Canis lupus familiaris: one gene and its partners. The protein of the gene in region 2 binds, or shares a complex with, the protein of the main gene of each other region. Links are inferred from orthologs where the notes say so. Each region holds a gene or a part of one and is shown on either strand. Other genes may lie near its edges.

Region 1 (5,002 bases), on a different chromosome or scaffold from region 2:
GAACATAATTCATAACTGGTATAAACACATGCACTATTTTAAAAAGTAAACATACTGTTTTAGTCTGCAGGCTCTTCCTTAACAGCATGATAAAAGCAGTCTTTCCCATATCTTCCTTGGCAGGCAGACCTTTCTCCCACCACGTGACACACAAATCCTGAATGGAACTCTGCAGCTTTCTTTCAGATTCAGGTAATGCATATAAAATACCTAAAACAGAGCACAGTAAATGTTCAATTAGTAAATTACTATAAACTAATATTAGCTCAGAGTCAATAGTGTAAAGTGCCATGACTCACAAAGGTTTGCTAAGCAAACACTAGTTTACATCTAACTTGCCAGAAATTTATATACATTATTTATAGAATACAAATGATAATAACTTGTAAAAAACTGTTAACTACTGTTATAAAAGCAGATCCAATAGAATACAGAATTTTAGTACTGTAAGACTCAGAAGGGTCACACTGTCCAAACTCCTCGTTTAAGAGAGGCAGGTATTCATACTACCCAAACGTAAGCACTACAACACCCACAGGTAATACTCAACACCAAACCCAGGTCAGGTGTGGTGACCAGTAACCCACTACAACTGTCCTTCATAAGTTGGCCTCAAATTCTGGCTCACTGGCGAAAAACAGTAAAAGAATTATTAAAATGGAAAAAAAAAGAATTATTAAAATGAATACAAAAACTGCAGTGCTTTTATTAATTGAAAAGCTCAAGAATGAAATGAAAATACTAATAATATGTTCATAATTATAATCCATAGATATCTGAATGCCATTACATACACGTTAAATTCCTGAATTAATGGGAAGTTAGAAACAACTACAATATCAGCACTAATCATTTATAAAAGTTATTTGGAGACTGAAAATAAACTATGGTTACATTCACAAAACACTGGGAACTATTTATATACTGATTAGGGCTAACATCTTAATCAGACATTGTATTTCAATGCAAGAATTCTGAATAAAACATCTACATACATCTAAGTGTTAGCACTAAGAATGCAAAGTCTGATGGGAAAGCGTGTCATACAGAATTAATTACAATGTGAAAGTGAGGACACTTAGGTGATTTTTCTTCTCATTACTTAAAATCATTTTTGCATCTTTTATATCTGTAAAATAGTTTTATGTATTTTATAATTAGATATTCTCATTAATTCTTAGTGCTCCTCCTAAATTAGAAACTACAGTTTTACAGTTTAATTAAAATCTGAAAAGCACCATGATACAAATTTTAATAGTAAAGTTCCCCTAATTGTCAACACCTATTTCTCAGGTCACTTTCATAACATATTTAAAAAATGATGCAGCGTCACAAATGCTTGGTTAAACTGAAACTTTCTGGCAGTAATCACCAACTGAGGAATTTATAATCTGACCATTTTTCCTTAATAAGCTCTTACCACTGGTCCCATAGGTCAAATAAGACGTACTGGAAAATCTGAGAACAGCAGTCAGTTGTTCAGTAATTTACATTCTAAATCAGTGCATCAGGATAGCCCTTAAAATAATACTTCTTGGGACACCTGGGTGGCTCAAGGGTTGAGCATCTGCCTTCAGCTCAGGGTGTGACCCCGGGGTCTTTGGATTGAGTCCCACATCAGGCTCCCCACAGGGAGCCTTCTTCTCCCTCTGCCTGTGTCTCTGCCCCTCTCTGTCACTTATGAATAAAAAAAAAAAAAAAAAAAAAAAACTTAAAAAAAAAAAAAAAGAATACTTCTTTGCTCCTTTTCTAGCTGAAGTAAAAGAGCTTAAAAGCAAAGTTACACCTTAATACTTCTGCTTCTACATGAAGACTGGCTCCTTCCATAGAGAACCAGTAGATGCCCACCTCTAAACATGCCATGATATCACAAATGCAACTCACCATTCAACATCACTGCACATTCCAGTAAGTCTTCATAGTTCTCACTTTCATTTATTACAGATACAGAAGCAAGAACCACACATGTAATTGCATGAATTATTTCTATGCTGTTTTTCTACAAATGAAAAAATTCAAATTCAAGTGACTTAAAATCAACTTAAAATAGAATTTTAAAAAGAAACGTGAATGTTACTAACTTTATAAAAATTAACCCACACTTCTAGCTTATTCTAAAAAGTAAATTAAATTTGAATACAGGTCAGTTGTCCAAAGAGAACAGCAACATTGAATAGCAGATTAATAATGGGCAGAATTGTTTAAAGTAAAACTATAATAAACATACTCCTAATATTCTTTCTTAAATTCTAGCTTTTTTTCATCACTTAAAATTCAATTACATACAATATTTTTTTTTAACAAATTAAAGGTAACAGGTTTTCTATTTGAAAAATTACTACTACCATTTTTGATTCATGCTCTGTTTCCATAATGTCTTCACCCTGGACTTCCAACGTCTGCCACTCAGCCACAGGGCTTTCTAACAATACACCCGTTAATAAATTCTTGAGCCTTTGCCATAGCTCTTCTTTCTGTTTCCTTGATAATTCATCTAGTAATTCATTTAGGCTGAAAGGGTCAGAAGCATCTTTCTGCAAAATAAATAGCAATTGTTATATTTCAATTACAAAAATTAGTTCTATCCCCTTTATAATGGCATCAAAAGGAAGTTTTGCTAAATTAAGTGCATTCATTAAGTGCTAAGCTAATGACCATTTCAAGAGTTGAGCTGTAGTTTTGAAATACTTTTCCTAAGTGGAAAAGTACAGGAATTATGAGACAGAAAGTAGCAGATGCCAGGGCACCTGGGTGGCTCAGTAAGTGAAGCATCTGCCTTTGGTTCAGGGCGTGATCCCAGGGTTCTGGGATGGAGCCCCGTAGAGTCTGCTTCTCTCTCTCCCTCTGTCCCTCTCTTCACTTGTGTGTACACACTCTCACTCTGTGTAATAAGTAAATTCAAAAAGTAAAATAAGAAAGTAGCAGGTTTCTCATCTATATATTCAGCCCTAGTAACCTAGTCTTTGGAGTTTAAAAATTTTACCCACTTAGAAATATCCTCTCTAAAATCAATCCATCCAGATGTCCACCACTCCAGGCCTATCATCAGGGCACAAAGTATGTTGGAGCTGTACAAGAACAACAACACAGCCAAGCCAACTGAGTATACTTGAAGTTGCTGATCTCTAACCCAACTTGGACCCTCAACACCCCCTCTTACTCATCTCTAGACATCATTCTCTTCTTTTAACCAATGAGATTATATCGGATCCTCTCAACTATCCCTAAAACCCCCGAGCCAACCATTTCTTCTCACTCTGAGCTGATGAGCTTACTCTCTGATACAGCAAATAGAAACCATTACCAAAGGGGTAGAGCATTCATCTTAAAGGGACTGTGTGCAGCCAATGTGAGCACCAATCAAGTGACCGTAATGGATTATAACCCAATCAATAAAGTAAGAACCAGTGAAACGAAACTGATAATAAATAAATAAATAACAAACAGCATCAGCATGCTATAGATCACCAATGAATAAATATGGAAGGAATATGGGGTTAGAAAATCACAATTTTCTATACTATATACTATAATAGCCATTATAGTAATAAATGTTTCAGGCAAGAATCATCAATTGACACTAAAACCAGAAGGTACAAGTCTGATGAAGAGCAGGGTATTTACCTAATCTCAACTTACTTCCCCAATTAAGATCACTTATTAATTACGAAGGTGGAAACAGCAGCTTGACAGTGGAGAAATCTGGTATAGCCCCAACCTAAGTGACTGATTAAAACTAACCTCAGCAATAACAGGACAAACGGACATCATGTGCCTCCACTGAGGAAGACAAAACACCACTTATGCAGCTCCTGTCAAAACGCATAAAATGAATTTAACCAAATCATCAAAGAAGTGCAAACTGAAGGATATGCCACCAAACAGCTGCCTACACTCAACTATTCTGACCTACAGAATGGCATTTCATATCATTCAACTCGAAGAAAACAAGTGATGCATAATCCTACATCTTCTCATTTTCGTGTTTAACTAATAGCTACACGGTGATTAAGATACTAAATAATTAAGTGTTAATAAGGCTTGCTACTCATAAGCTAAAAGGAATGACTATGAATACAATGACTAACTCAGCATCCTCCTGAGATATGTGCTGCTGAGCAACAGTCCAAGGCACTAGGGCATGTGACCAGGGGTAGCTGCGGACAAGGATCTCAAAGGGCGCCCTGTCACTACATCAGCCTGATCCTGTAGGGACTGTGCTACCCAGATGTTGCTATTTTGGCCTTTTGATTTTAAATTAATATTAACTAGCCTCATCATCATCAATTTAGTTTGTGATAGTAGTTAATACTATGACAAAAGTTTGCAACAATAATCTTGTAAACTTTAAACCACACGTGTATTGCACACATAACAGAAGACATATCATCTACACTCCTACTAAAACAAGTGTTTATATAACATCTAAATAGTGTGCTCTCAACAGACACTTCTGAGATGTGCTGCCTGTGAGTCTGTACTGACTATTTTTGTTTACAGGGTACTATTTTACAATATGAAATCATATCATAATTCATTTCCCTCTTAAAAATAATTCCAGGATGCCTGGATGGCTCAGTGGTTGAGCGTCTGCCTTTGGCTCAGGTTGTGACCCCAGGATCCTGGGATAGAGTCCTGCGTCGGGCTCCCCGCAGGGAGCCTGCTTCTCTCTCTGCCTCTCTTTGTGTCTCCCATGAATAAATAAATAAAATCTCTTAAAAAAGAAGAAAAAAAAAACTTCATAAATGTTGCTAGCAATAAATTTTCTATTAGGTTTCTCTCTACTTAATTACTACTTTTTTTTTTTTAATTACTACTAACTTAATTTTCACTGCATGAGCAAAACAAATGACATGCATCTTCTGACCCAAAGTCACAAGTGTTTTAGAATTGATACCTTAACTGTTGGGGTTCCTCAAGGTTCTGTCCTAGGCTTCTCTTCTTACACTACAGATGGTCCCATTGCATTCCCATGACTGAAGCTTCCAAGTGTCACTGAGGA
Region 2 (5,002 bases):
AAGTGAGCTACGAGAAGCCGTATGGTCTAAAAGTTTCTCCTCCGTCTATACTAGCTTTGTCAGAGGATCGCACTTATGGCTCTAATCCCATTATTGTGTCTTCCTCTGAAGCTGTGACAGAAGAGCTTTAATGACTCAAGGGTAAGAACATCCCCAGGCCTTACAGGGGACCACCAGGGACCAGGCCTCTCTGCTAAGAGGCAGACAGCACCTTACCTAACAGCATTAGAGGGAGAAGATTTATCGTAGACCCACCCACAAGGGAGTCCCAACAAAGGGAAGGAAATCCATGAACCCTCCAGCCACTGCGAAGAGAGGGCTGCACAGGCCTGGGGAGGACAGGCGCAGCCGCTGTCACGGAGGGCTGCCAGGGAATGAGGGCTGTGCTGCTCCAACACGGCAGCTGCTGGCCATCCTCCAGACGGATGCTCAGAAACGGGATGGACTTACCGTTCGTAAGCCTTTAGTTTATTGAGGATCTAAATTATTTTTTTCCTCTCAGAGCTCTAAAACACTCTGGGCAATAAAAACATAAGAATAACTGGAAGTTCTCATTTTTTTCCACACAATGAGCCTATCTTTCCTACCTTAACTTCCTTTAGTTAAAAGAGCTATTTGAAGAATTTATATCCAATGTAATTTGGTTGTAGCCCTTACTGAAAAAATGTGTTTAGCATTTCTTGAGAAAGAAAATAGCATAGTGTGAACAGAAAGGAAAAAACATTCCCTTTATTGCTGATTGAAAAATTTTGCCAGAAAGGTCAGGAGTCTCATTTATGTCTGCAAGACAAGTCTACATATCCTGGGTGCTTCGACCAGGACTGTTCATGGCCCCGGATCCCACCAGTGATGGCGGCCCAGGCCCCATCGGTGCACCCCAAGACGCACTATTTTCTGATGTGGAGGCAGTGTTAAAGGTTAACATCCCCAAATTGAACATAATGCCCGATTTCACTTTATCCCTCACCAGAATGAACTAAGATGATTCTTTTGTACTTTACCCCAGTTGAGAAAGGCTTCGAAACTGAATCTCAAAACTGGCATCAAGGACACACATGCTCAGCACAGTGAGTTAGCCCTGCATAAACTCAACGGCATGGAAAGCCAAGAACCAACTTCTGAGGAACCTACGGTTAAACGCTCTCTTCTCCCCGACAAAGACCTGTCTGGCTGGTCTAACTTAAAAAAATGTAAAGCTGGTTTTATAGCATTTTGAGTTCCTGTGATCACCAGCCAACTGCTCCATCGTTGGAACTGTGACAGATCCTGAGTAATGAGCTGGAGGCGAGAGACACTGACCACAAAGCACAAGGTCATCTTTACCCTGAGATAGGTCATGAGTTCCCGCAAAGCTGGGATCTTATTTTTCTCTACCACAGTCTTCAGGGAGATGATAATTGGAATAATATTTTCTATGAAATTCTTCTTCTGAACCTGTAATAATACAAACAAAGGCGTGCTTTAGATGGACAAGGTTCTGAGACCGAGGCTTCTCCCTGACCTGGCTCCTCCTGCACGGCGGAACTACCTAGGAGCCGACACCTTGGTCCTGGGAGCTTGATAACACTCAGAAGGTTGCGTGAAGTAGGATGGGGATGGATGCTATTCTTACTTTTTAAACATGAAACAGGAATTAGAAATATGCTGAATAATTTAACAATCTCCAAACCTCCACACAAACCCATCTTGGATCCGCTCAATTCCTCCACTCAGCATCCTCCCTTTGGAATGAAAATGAGTCTACTTCTGGCTACCCAAAAGGGACATTTTGTATTCCTGCTGGAAGTAACAAATGGTTGAGAATGGCTAAGCACGGAGAGTTGGTGTTGTATTTCTTTTTGTGTGTATAACTCCACACACATTTAGAAAAGTGTTATGTAGTTACATAGTACCTGATTTGACCAAGCCTTCATATTCTTAATCACAAATAATCATTGCCCAGAGATATTTTCTAATAAATCTTTTAGAATTAAAAAGAATCATTATAGCAGCCCATATATGTAGTAAGATTTATCCTTCTTAATCTGAAAAGTATTTTTTCTTCTCGTTTAAAGTCACTAGTATGCGTCCCTTGCTTGTAAATCACCATTTCTAAAAAGTCTTATCAGAGTTCCTAAAATAAAAGGTCAATCAGTAGAGAAATAAACACTTTAATAAATATGAGTTTGAACAGATGGTAAGTTTAAAGATAGTTTTAAAAAGTGGCTTAAATGCATTCAACTCAATCAATACTATCAAACGCCTTCTCTGAACCAGACACAAAGCTAGCCTCTGGGTATGTAAAAATGAAGCCAGAAATTCTTGCCTTCAAGCGACTTCTAGACCAGATTGTGTGCTACGATGGGTGGCATGGTGTGATAAGTGGCACAAAGGTGAGGAACTTACAGAAAAGGGATGCCTAGGGAGGTAGGCCCATCTTTTGAAAAGATGTAGGAATTTGGCAGCAGGAAAGGACAGGGTAGGAGAGGCCCTGCAGGCAGGCAGACAGTGTGCAAAGACACAACAGTAGGAGTGCACTCAAGGAACCCACAGTGACCTGGAATGGAGAGATCAGGGAGGGGAGCATGGAGATGAGGGGTGCAGGGGCAGGACAGACATCCCAGGGCTCCATGTGCCTGGGAGAAGGATTTTATTTGGAAGATGATAGGAAGCTACCAAACTACAGACTAAAGGTAGCATTAGTGAGGCATAACTTATATGCCATAAAATGTACCCATGTTAAGTGACTAGTTTAACGAGTCTGACAACGGTATAGAGTAACCCAAACCACAGTCTGCTTAATCACCCCAGTCTCCCTGGAAGTTCCCTGCTGCCCTCTGCAGCCTATCTGCCTCTAGTCTCTTTTAAGTGGGAGAATAAAATGATCAAATCTGTCCGTAAGAGACTGCTGTGGCAGCAAGGTGGTGCACAGCCTGGAAAAGAAAGAAACTAGAGACACAAAGGGTGCAGAGTGAGGAAACCGCCAGAAATGACACCAGCTAAACAAGTGCAGAGCTACTCAGAATGGGAGAGCACAGAATGGTGCATTCGCAAGATAAAATGGACAGGATCTGGTGACATCCTGGACGGTGACCCAAGTCTATTTCTTTAGGGTCTGAAGCTTTCAGGACTCAGGTGGGAAATACAGCCTAGTGATCCAGGCTGGTGTAAGACCTGGGCCTGGTGAGGACTACGGCAGTCAGGCACCACTCTGAGTCTGATCCCAATTTTCCCACTCTGGCCAAACGAAGCAGGGGTCTGTCATGCCAGACTTCAGACTGGGGTAGTACTGGGTCCTCTTGGGGACAACTTGGTAGATAATGGTTTCCTTCTCCATGATAGAGACTTCAGGAGAAGAGACGGAGAGGAAGAAGAAGGGAGGAGTAACTCAGTTTTGGCAGAGGGAGTCTGAGAGGCCTGTGGCACATCCAAGCAGACAAGTGGGATGGGTTCAGGCCACAGGAGAAGGTGGAGCTACACACAGAGGGAGAATCGTCATCATTGGGCTGAGTGTTAAGGCCACGGGTAAGAATTAAATGTGGATCTGAGGCAGACCACCAGTACTCAGGGGAGGGGCAGAGGAGCACGGGGGTGTAACCAGGCCCGTTTACAGAAGGACACTCACTTGTGAGATGAGCCTCTTCTGAGCTTCCTGCATGACTGCACTGGCCAAGGCCATGTCATCTTCTTCCAGAAGGTCCTTATCTGCTTTAGATCTCATGGCCAAAAGCTTGATTTCCTTAGAGCTGAGGACCTCAAATGTATCTGAGAGCAATTCACTGGCTTCCATGTCTAGGGGCAGGATGCCGTCGGCAAAGGATGCTGAGAAAGAGCACAAAAGGTCAGCTTCTGAGAAAGTCAGCCCCAGGGTGGGAAAGGGTAGCCCACAGAGAGAGGAGGGCTCATCTTGGCTTCAAGTGGGCATAGCTGATGTCAAAGAAGGGAAAAAACCAGAGTCTTCCCACAGTATCAGGGGCTCATTTGCTAGAGATCTACTGAGCCATTAGCCAGCCACAGGGCATTTCATTTTTAAATATACATTTTATCCCAAACACACCAGGCCTACCCAAAATGCTAAGACAGATTTTGGAAGTGATATTGAATCGCTGTTCATCTGTGAAGTGCTCCAGAAGAAATTTGTAGATTTTCATTCGTTTCTGCTTGTTTGTCTTTCCCTTCAGTGAAAACAGCTGCTTCTCTCTAGGACAAAACAGGACAATTTTACCACATGATGTGGGCAAGGGTGCAAGGATGTTCATTTCAGCAGCAGTTTCCAGCATCCTAAAAACTGTCTACCCACGGTGGAGGTACATGATTGAGATGACTATGCTTCTCAGAGGCACTTCCTTGGGACGCCACTGGACGAATGAATGGTCTCGCATCACCCTGTCCAGAGAAGGCAGGCCTGCCACAAGGAGCGCCAGGGCCGGGGTCTGTGCCTCGAGACTCGTACAAAGCAGCTGCCCATCTCCCACCACTCGCCCTGCCCTTCCCGAGAGCTCCACTGACCTCTCCGACTGGGGGAACTTGTTATACTTCTCATGCTTCTCGTAGTTATTGAAGTGGAAGATACACTCAATGAAGTGCTGGAAGAACATGACAGGGTTCCTCTTCAGCAACAGGTGAGCCAGGCAAAACTCCCCAAAACTGCAGGGAAGGGGGAGAGAGAAAAAAGAGACCTGTTTGCTCTTTGCACACAGCCTCTAAAAATTACACCAAGAACATGGAGGTGTGGCGGGAAACTGCAAACAAGTGACAGGGAGAGGAAATCTATCCCAATACACAGCTTCATTCAGATCAGAAGAGAAAACTTCGCTTCTTCCATCTGTCCTTGCTCAACAGCCTCCTTTTTGAATCCAAGGTCAGCATAAAGGCCTTTTCTACTAGTGTTCCTTTCAAAATTCTAACCAGGTGCACTACTCAGGTACACTTTAAATATGGGAAAACCACCAACCCACCCCAAACTGCTTTTCAAGTAGAATTCTGCGGTTCTCATGGCTGATGCAACAAACCACCACCTGAA
Region 3 (5,002 bases), on a different chromosome or scaffold from region 2:
TGCGCTGGCTCAGCTCGGTCTCCTGGACGAACTTCTGAGAAGTGGCAATGAAGAGCTCCTGGAGGAGGACCAGGGAGCCGTCACCTTCCGTGCAGGGGCCCCTCCCCCAGCACCCCACCTGCTCTCACTCAGACATACCACATTCCTTCGGACCAGCTCCTCGTAGCTCAGGGATGCTGACATGGCCTCTGCTTCTGGAAAGCGGAAACTGTGAGCTGCAATGGCCACGAGCCATGCCCTTTCCTCCCTCCCCTGTTCTCCGGGACCCCCTCTCAGGCCTACCCAGGTCTGCAGCGGCCCCGGGCTGAGCCTCAGGAGGCTCTGCATACTCCTCAGGCTCTAGAAAGTCATCTGCTGGTAGACAAGAAGCCCCAGCTGGAGGCAGGTTGGCTGGCAGATGTGAATCCCTACCCTGGCCCATCCCAGTAGGCTCCCACCTGCTGTCCTCAGATCCTCCAGGGAATCCTCCAGGTTGTCGTCGTCCTCAGGCCATAGCCCCTCGTCAGGCCTCGGCAGCCACCGCTCACCCAACTGTGCAGAGAGCACCCATGAGGGGCACTGCTATCTCCCGGCAGGAGCCATGCGAGCTCCACACAGGGGCCAGTACCTACCTCCCTCCTCTGCAGCCGCCGGAGAGTCTCCAGCTGCTCCCTCACATGCTTCCAGTACAGGACCTCCATGTCTGTACACAACGGCCTTGTGAGAGGTGCTCCCGTGTCCTGCCCGGGCCCCCACCCCAGTCTCCCTAGAGCCTTGGGCACCCCCAGGCCCAGGGGAACCAGACAGATGATGCCACAGCACTTTACCTCTCGGGAGAGTGCACACAACCCTGACCTCACCTGCAAAAGACGGGCCCTTCCGCCGGGGCCTCCTGCTGTCGGCATGGTCAGCGTCTTCAAGAGAATTTGGTTGGCAGGAATGAGGCCGAGTCCCTGTAGGCTGTCCCCGGACCCTCCCACCCTGGCCCAGCCCCAGCCCACCACTCACAGGCAGCCAGGTACCACTGGTGAAAGTCCTGCAGCTTGGTGGCACCCTTCCTCTTGCGTTTCTGTCCTGGAACCTCCTCCACACGGGGGGGCACGGAGTAAGGCCTACCTGGGGGCAAACGACTATGTCTGGGGCACAACTTTGGGCCCTGGGGTAGGTTATGGCACCCACAGGCCCCAGGAACAGCTGCACAAGCACAGTTCCCACCCGGCTCCCAATGGGTACAAGCCCACCCTCATCAAATGCTAGTGCTCCAGAGAATACATCCACAGATGCCAGAGAGGTGTCCCCTTGCACCCACCCAATTACCTTTCTTGAAGGGCTTAGAGTCCAGGGAGTCAAAGGGATCCAGGCTCTGCCAGGGGTCTGGAGTCTCCTGAGCACAGAGCACAAGCAGACGTGGGGGGTGGGGAGCTAAGGATGTGCACCCTCCCCCCCAGAGCCCAGACACTGAGCACAAAGAGCCAGCCACATTCAGGACCTAATGGTGACACAGCAGGGAGGGAGGAGCCCCAGAGTGGCAGAAGAGCAGACTTAATTTCTGGAGAAAGGAAGATTCCTTGAGAAAGAGTCCACAGAAAGGGCCTCAGGCTAGGAGCTCAGGTTCTAAAAGCTGGAGGAGTTTGGGGGGAGGGGGGGGGACAGTGGAGCTTCAAAGAACACCCTCCCTGGTCTGAGCCCCCATGCCCCTCACCTTCAGGGATGCTGGCTCCCGTCGCTCCCGCAGCACCCACCCACTGGGCTGGGCAGCACTCTGCAAAGAAACAGCTCCAGGGGGTCCCTCTCCTCCCCCTCCTCCTCCCTCTCCTCCCCTTCCTCTGGAGGAAGAGCCTGGCACCCAAGGCTTGGGCAACCAGCAGCTGTGCTCTGGCATCAGACGTCAAGAACCCTGCAGGGACCCTCTTAGGGTCCACAAAAACTCAAGAAAAAATTTTAGAAGAAAATACAAATAAATAAATAAATGGTTGTGAGGTACCTTTTTCTTTAAAATATACAAAAAAATCTTAAATGTCACGCATCTATCGATCAAAATTAACAAACGTTAACCTCTTTCTTATATGCATCAGAGTTTTTCTTCTAACAGATTTTTTTAGGGCAGCCCCGGTGGCCCAGTGGTTTGGTGCCGCCTTTGGCCCGAAGTGTGATCCTAGAGACCCGGGATCGAGTCCCATGTCAGGCTCCCTGTATGGAGCCTGCTTCTCTCCCACTGTCATGAATAAACAAATAAAATCTTTAAAAATAAATAAAAATAGATTTTTTAGCTCCAGGCCAAAACACAAAGGTGACCCATGAGGGTGGTGGGAAGCAGCAAAAGCCTTCAAGCCTGGCCCCTCCTGCCAGCCCGACCCCAGAAGAGTCAGCTTTGGAAACCAGCCACCATCCTAGGTGCCAGCCACAACAGCATAGGGCACAGGCCCTTGAACCCCAGCTCCTTGCTGAGGAGCAGCAGCTGTCCTGCTCAGAGAGAGGAAAGGCGTGCGGGGAACACCCCAAAGAGCTGGGGGTGAGGCCAGGTCTAAGGCTGTCTGGAGGGTGCCCAGACAGGACTGCATGGCCCACGTGAGCGTGGGGACGCTTGCCTGGCTGACGGCTTGAGCTCTGCAGGCCTCAGTAGGGGTCCTACCTGCTGTGGGCTCCGGGGCTCCTGGGGGACCTCGGGGGCCATGGCCTCAGGGAGCTCTGCTGCCCCCTCTTCATCCTCATCCTCACCACCACCTGCAGGCAGCGGATCCTCTGGCGAGGTACCTGAGCAGGTGAGTAGAGAGCAGACAGCAGGTGGGAGGCTGCCTTGCCAACGCCCAGGAGAACCTGCAAGGCCACTCCTCACTCGGCTTCCTTCAGCTGACCCAGGGACTGCAGCAGGGCACTCCACACTCTTCTCGTCACACCGCTCTGTTCTGTTTGGCTCATTTTCCTTTATCAATTTTCCTCCTGAAACGCTCCCATCCGTGCTTACCAGGGGAGAAACAGTAGGCCCAAACCTCACAGGCCCAAGAATGGTCACAGGGCAGTCACGAGACCAAGACAGCACAGTGAGCCACGGCTGCTCCCCACACCTCACCCCTGGGGTGGCTGAGCACAGCGCACCCCTACCCACACCCTGCAAATGCAGCACCACGCTCCCTTCTCACCTGGCTCCGGGGAGATGCTGAGCACGGGGATTGGGCAGCACGCAGAGACTTCCATTGGCTGCTCCTCAGCCCTCTTAGCTTCTGGCAAAGAGGGGGATTGGGCAGGGTCAGCCCAACCCCTCCCCCAGGAGACCCCTCCCAGGGGCCCAGCAGAGCCAGGGCTCAGCGGGGAGAACAGAGACCTGGCCCAGGACCCAGGCACCCTGGGTTGAACCAGCTACAGGCAAAGGGGGCAAAGAGGATGTGCACCTTCAGACACATCCTCACAGCAGGTGCCCGGGGAGGGAGGTGGGACCAGAGCCGGCAGGCACAGGGGACCCCTCCTTCCCAAGCCCGCCACACCCAAGCCCTCACCCTCCTGGTTCCTCGGCAGCAGCGTCTCCGTGGGGGGTATGCCCACCAGCTCCAACATGAAGGCTCCTCTGGGGTGAGCGGTGCAGGTATTCATCCGGAAATCCTTCCGGCTGGCCAGGACTTCCCCCTGACAGCTGTGCTGGCAAAACACATCCACTGCAGAGACCCTTGCCCAGCAGCCTCTCCCCTTATCTGAGTCCCCTCAGCCAGGCTCAGGCCGATACCTGTACAGGGGGCTGACATTCTTCTCCACCTCATCAGGCGCCACAAGGGCCATGGGCAGGAGAGGGATGATGAGGATCTCCTGCATGGAGGCCAACAGTGGGTGAGCCACAGGTCCCGTGGGCTCCAGGTGGGGAACCCATATGGGATGATCCCTCCAACCCCTGTCAGCTAAGTGCAGCCCCTACAGAAGGAGGGGCACTCACACGGGGGGCCAGGTCACTCCTCAGATCCACGTTAGTGCGGGCGTCAGGGAGGTCATCCAGTGACAGGAACTATGCGGGGACAAGAGCTCAGGAGCAGCGCCAGGCAAGTGCACAGCGGGCAGCGGCCACACACCCAAGAATCTCACCTGGTCCTCTCCCTCCTGGGGAGCCATGGAGCTGGTGTCCCCATCGGCCCCGTGTTCCCGCACCGAGGAGAGCTGCTTGGCCCGCCTGAGAGAGAACCAGTGCATGGGTGTCTGGGAGGCTGCAGGGGCCTCCCACGCTGCACGCAGGGCAGACACATGGGCATCCGCCTCCTGGCTCACCACCAGTACTCACTTCTTGCCGGAGATGAAATCCAGAGCCTGGTAGACCAGCGAGTAGAGGTACTCCACCTGGTGACGAGAAGCGGACAGTGAGGAGCGGGAAGGAAAGCCGACCTCAATGCAACCTGGCCCTCCCCAAAGGCGGACACACACAGAAGCCCACCGTCCTCTCCAAAACTCCCAGCAGAGTTCTGCCAACGTCCACCTGACATGTCTCATCAGTGTGGTCCTCTCCCCTTCCTCTGGCCCCGCACGCCACACGAGTGGCTGCCTTCACACCCTACACACCAGCCCGCATGCGGTCCGCTGGCCCAGGTCCATGCTGCTCCCGCCCAGCACCCACAGCTGCCCCCTTTCCTCCTGCAGGTTTGGGCCACCACTGCCCCATCTCCAGAAGCCCCAGCCACAACCCGTGGGACCCCACCCCCACGGTGAGGGTCAGGACTTCCGAGATGCTGGCCAGGAGGCTGTGCACCTGTGCCCCCTCCAGGCCGTTCCCTCTGGGGTAACCGTGCCCAAGGACACAAGCAACTCTTCTTGGCCCTGCTTCTTTTTTTTCATGCCATAAGTTTGCATGAAATCCTTCTTTTATGCACAGAGCTCTGCACTAGACACTGGACACGATGGTGACCATGCGGATGGTGGTCCTTCGAACATGGGCCCCATTTATTTGGATTAATTTATAGTGACTTTGGTAAGTGTCCAGCACGTCTCAGGACTCGGGCTTCACCCCATCCAGTCTACCTGAACTACGTACCACCGCTGTTCCCGCTTC

What was found.
Region 1: the proteins of NCAPD3 (region 2) and NCAPG2 are in contact, whole or in part, in a cryo-EM structure (PDB 9F5W), measured with the Homo sapiens proteins. The link is inferred for Canis lupus familiaris from reciprocal best matches to the Homo sapiens genes NCAPD3 and NCAPG2. Residues at the interface, in NP_056076.1 of Homo sapiens: Glu1213, Lys1216, Ile1217, Pro1218, Leu1220, Gln1247, Ser1250, Glu1251, Tyr1254, Lys1258; in NP_001268861.1 of Homo sapiens: Phe291, Lys332, Pro333, Ile334, Trp336, Lys340, Ala341, Arg342, Arg347.
Region 3: the proteins of NCAPD3 (region 2) and NCAPH2 are in contact, whole or in part, in a cryo-EM structure (PDB 9F5W), measured with the Homo sapiens proteins. The link is inferred for Canis lupus familiaris from reciprocal best matches to the Homo sapiens genes NCAPD3 and NCAPH2. Residues at the interface, in NP_056076.1 of Homo sapiens: Arg589, Pro591, Met629, Glu680, Arg683, Tyr684, His690, Lys724, Glu793, Asp800, Gln803, Arg804, Arg807, Gln817, Leu820, Gln865, Leu866, Cys867, Pro868, Ala869, Arg870, Val871, Val918, Ile925, Lys929, Leu932, Gln933, His934, Ala956, Asn960; in NP_689512.2 of Homo sapiens: Trp22, Ser68, Lys69, Glu72, Tyr75, Tyr79, Leu82, Asp83, Ser86, Ile144, Ile145, Pro146, Leu147, Leu148, Met150, Ala151, Leu152, Val153, Asp156, Glu159, Asn161, Asn162, Asn163, Pro164, Leu165, Tyr166, Ser167, Arg168, Gly170, Leu173.

The regions. Positions count from the first base shown.
Region 1 is NC_049237.1:21,442,908-21,447,909, forward strand, and holds part of NCAPG2 (condensin-2 complex subunit G2), read right to left. Parts: intron 3,813-5,002; exon of another isoform or gene 3,772-3,812; coding exon of another isoform or gene 3,742-3,771; intron 2,535-3,741; coding exon 2,346-2,534; intron 2,000-2,345; coding exon 1,885-1,999; intron 211-1,884; coding exon 56-210; intron 1-55. UniProt on the Homo sapiens protein: Regulatory subunit of the condensin-2 complex, a complex which establishes mitotic chromosome architecture and is involved in physical rigidity of the chromatid axis.
Region 2 is NC_049226.1:1,096,595-1,101,596, reverse strand, and holds part of NCAPD3 (condensin-2 complex subunit D3), read right to left. Parts: intron 4,627-5,002; coding exon 4,489-4,626; intron 4,180-4,488; coding exon 4,046-4,179; intron 3,802-4,045; coding exon 3,605-3,801; intron 1,435-3,604; coding exon 1,324-1,434; intron 1-1,323.
Region 3 is NC_049231.1:17,696,757-17,701,758, forward strand, and holds part of NCAPH2 (condensin-2 complex subunit H2), read right to left. Parts: intron 4,297-5,002; coding exon 4,241-4,296; intron 4,133-4,240; coding exon 4,048-4,132; intron 3,971-4,047; coding exon 3,902-3,970; intron 3,778-3,901; coding exon 3,698-3,777; intron 3,608-3,697; coding exon 3,474-3,607; intron 3,201-3,473; coding exon 3,120-3,200; intron 2,734-3,119; coding exon 2,612-2,733; intron 1,742-2,611; coding exon 1,682-1,741; intron 1,364-1,681; coding exon 1,297-1,363; intron 1,096-1,296; coding exon 988-1,095; intron 894-987; coding exon 840-893; intron 683-839; coding exon 612-682; intron 532-611; coding exon 438-531; intron 355-437; coding exon 283-354; intron 195-282; coding exon 139-194; intron 59-138; coding exon 1-58. UniProt on the Homo sapiens protein: Regulatory subunit of the condensin-2 complex, a complex that seems to provide chromosomes with an additional level of organization and rigidity and in establishing mitotic chromosome architecture.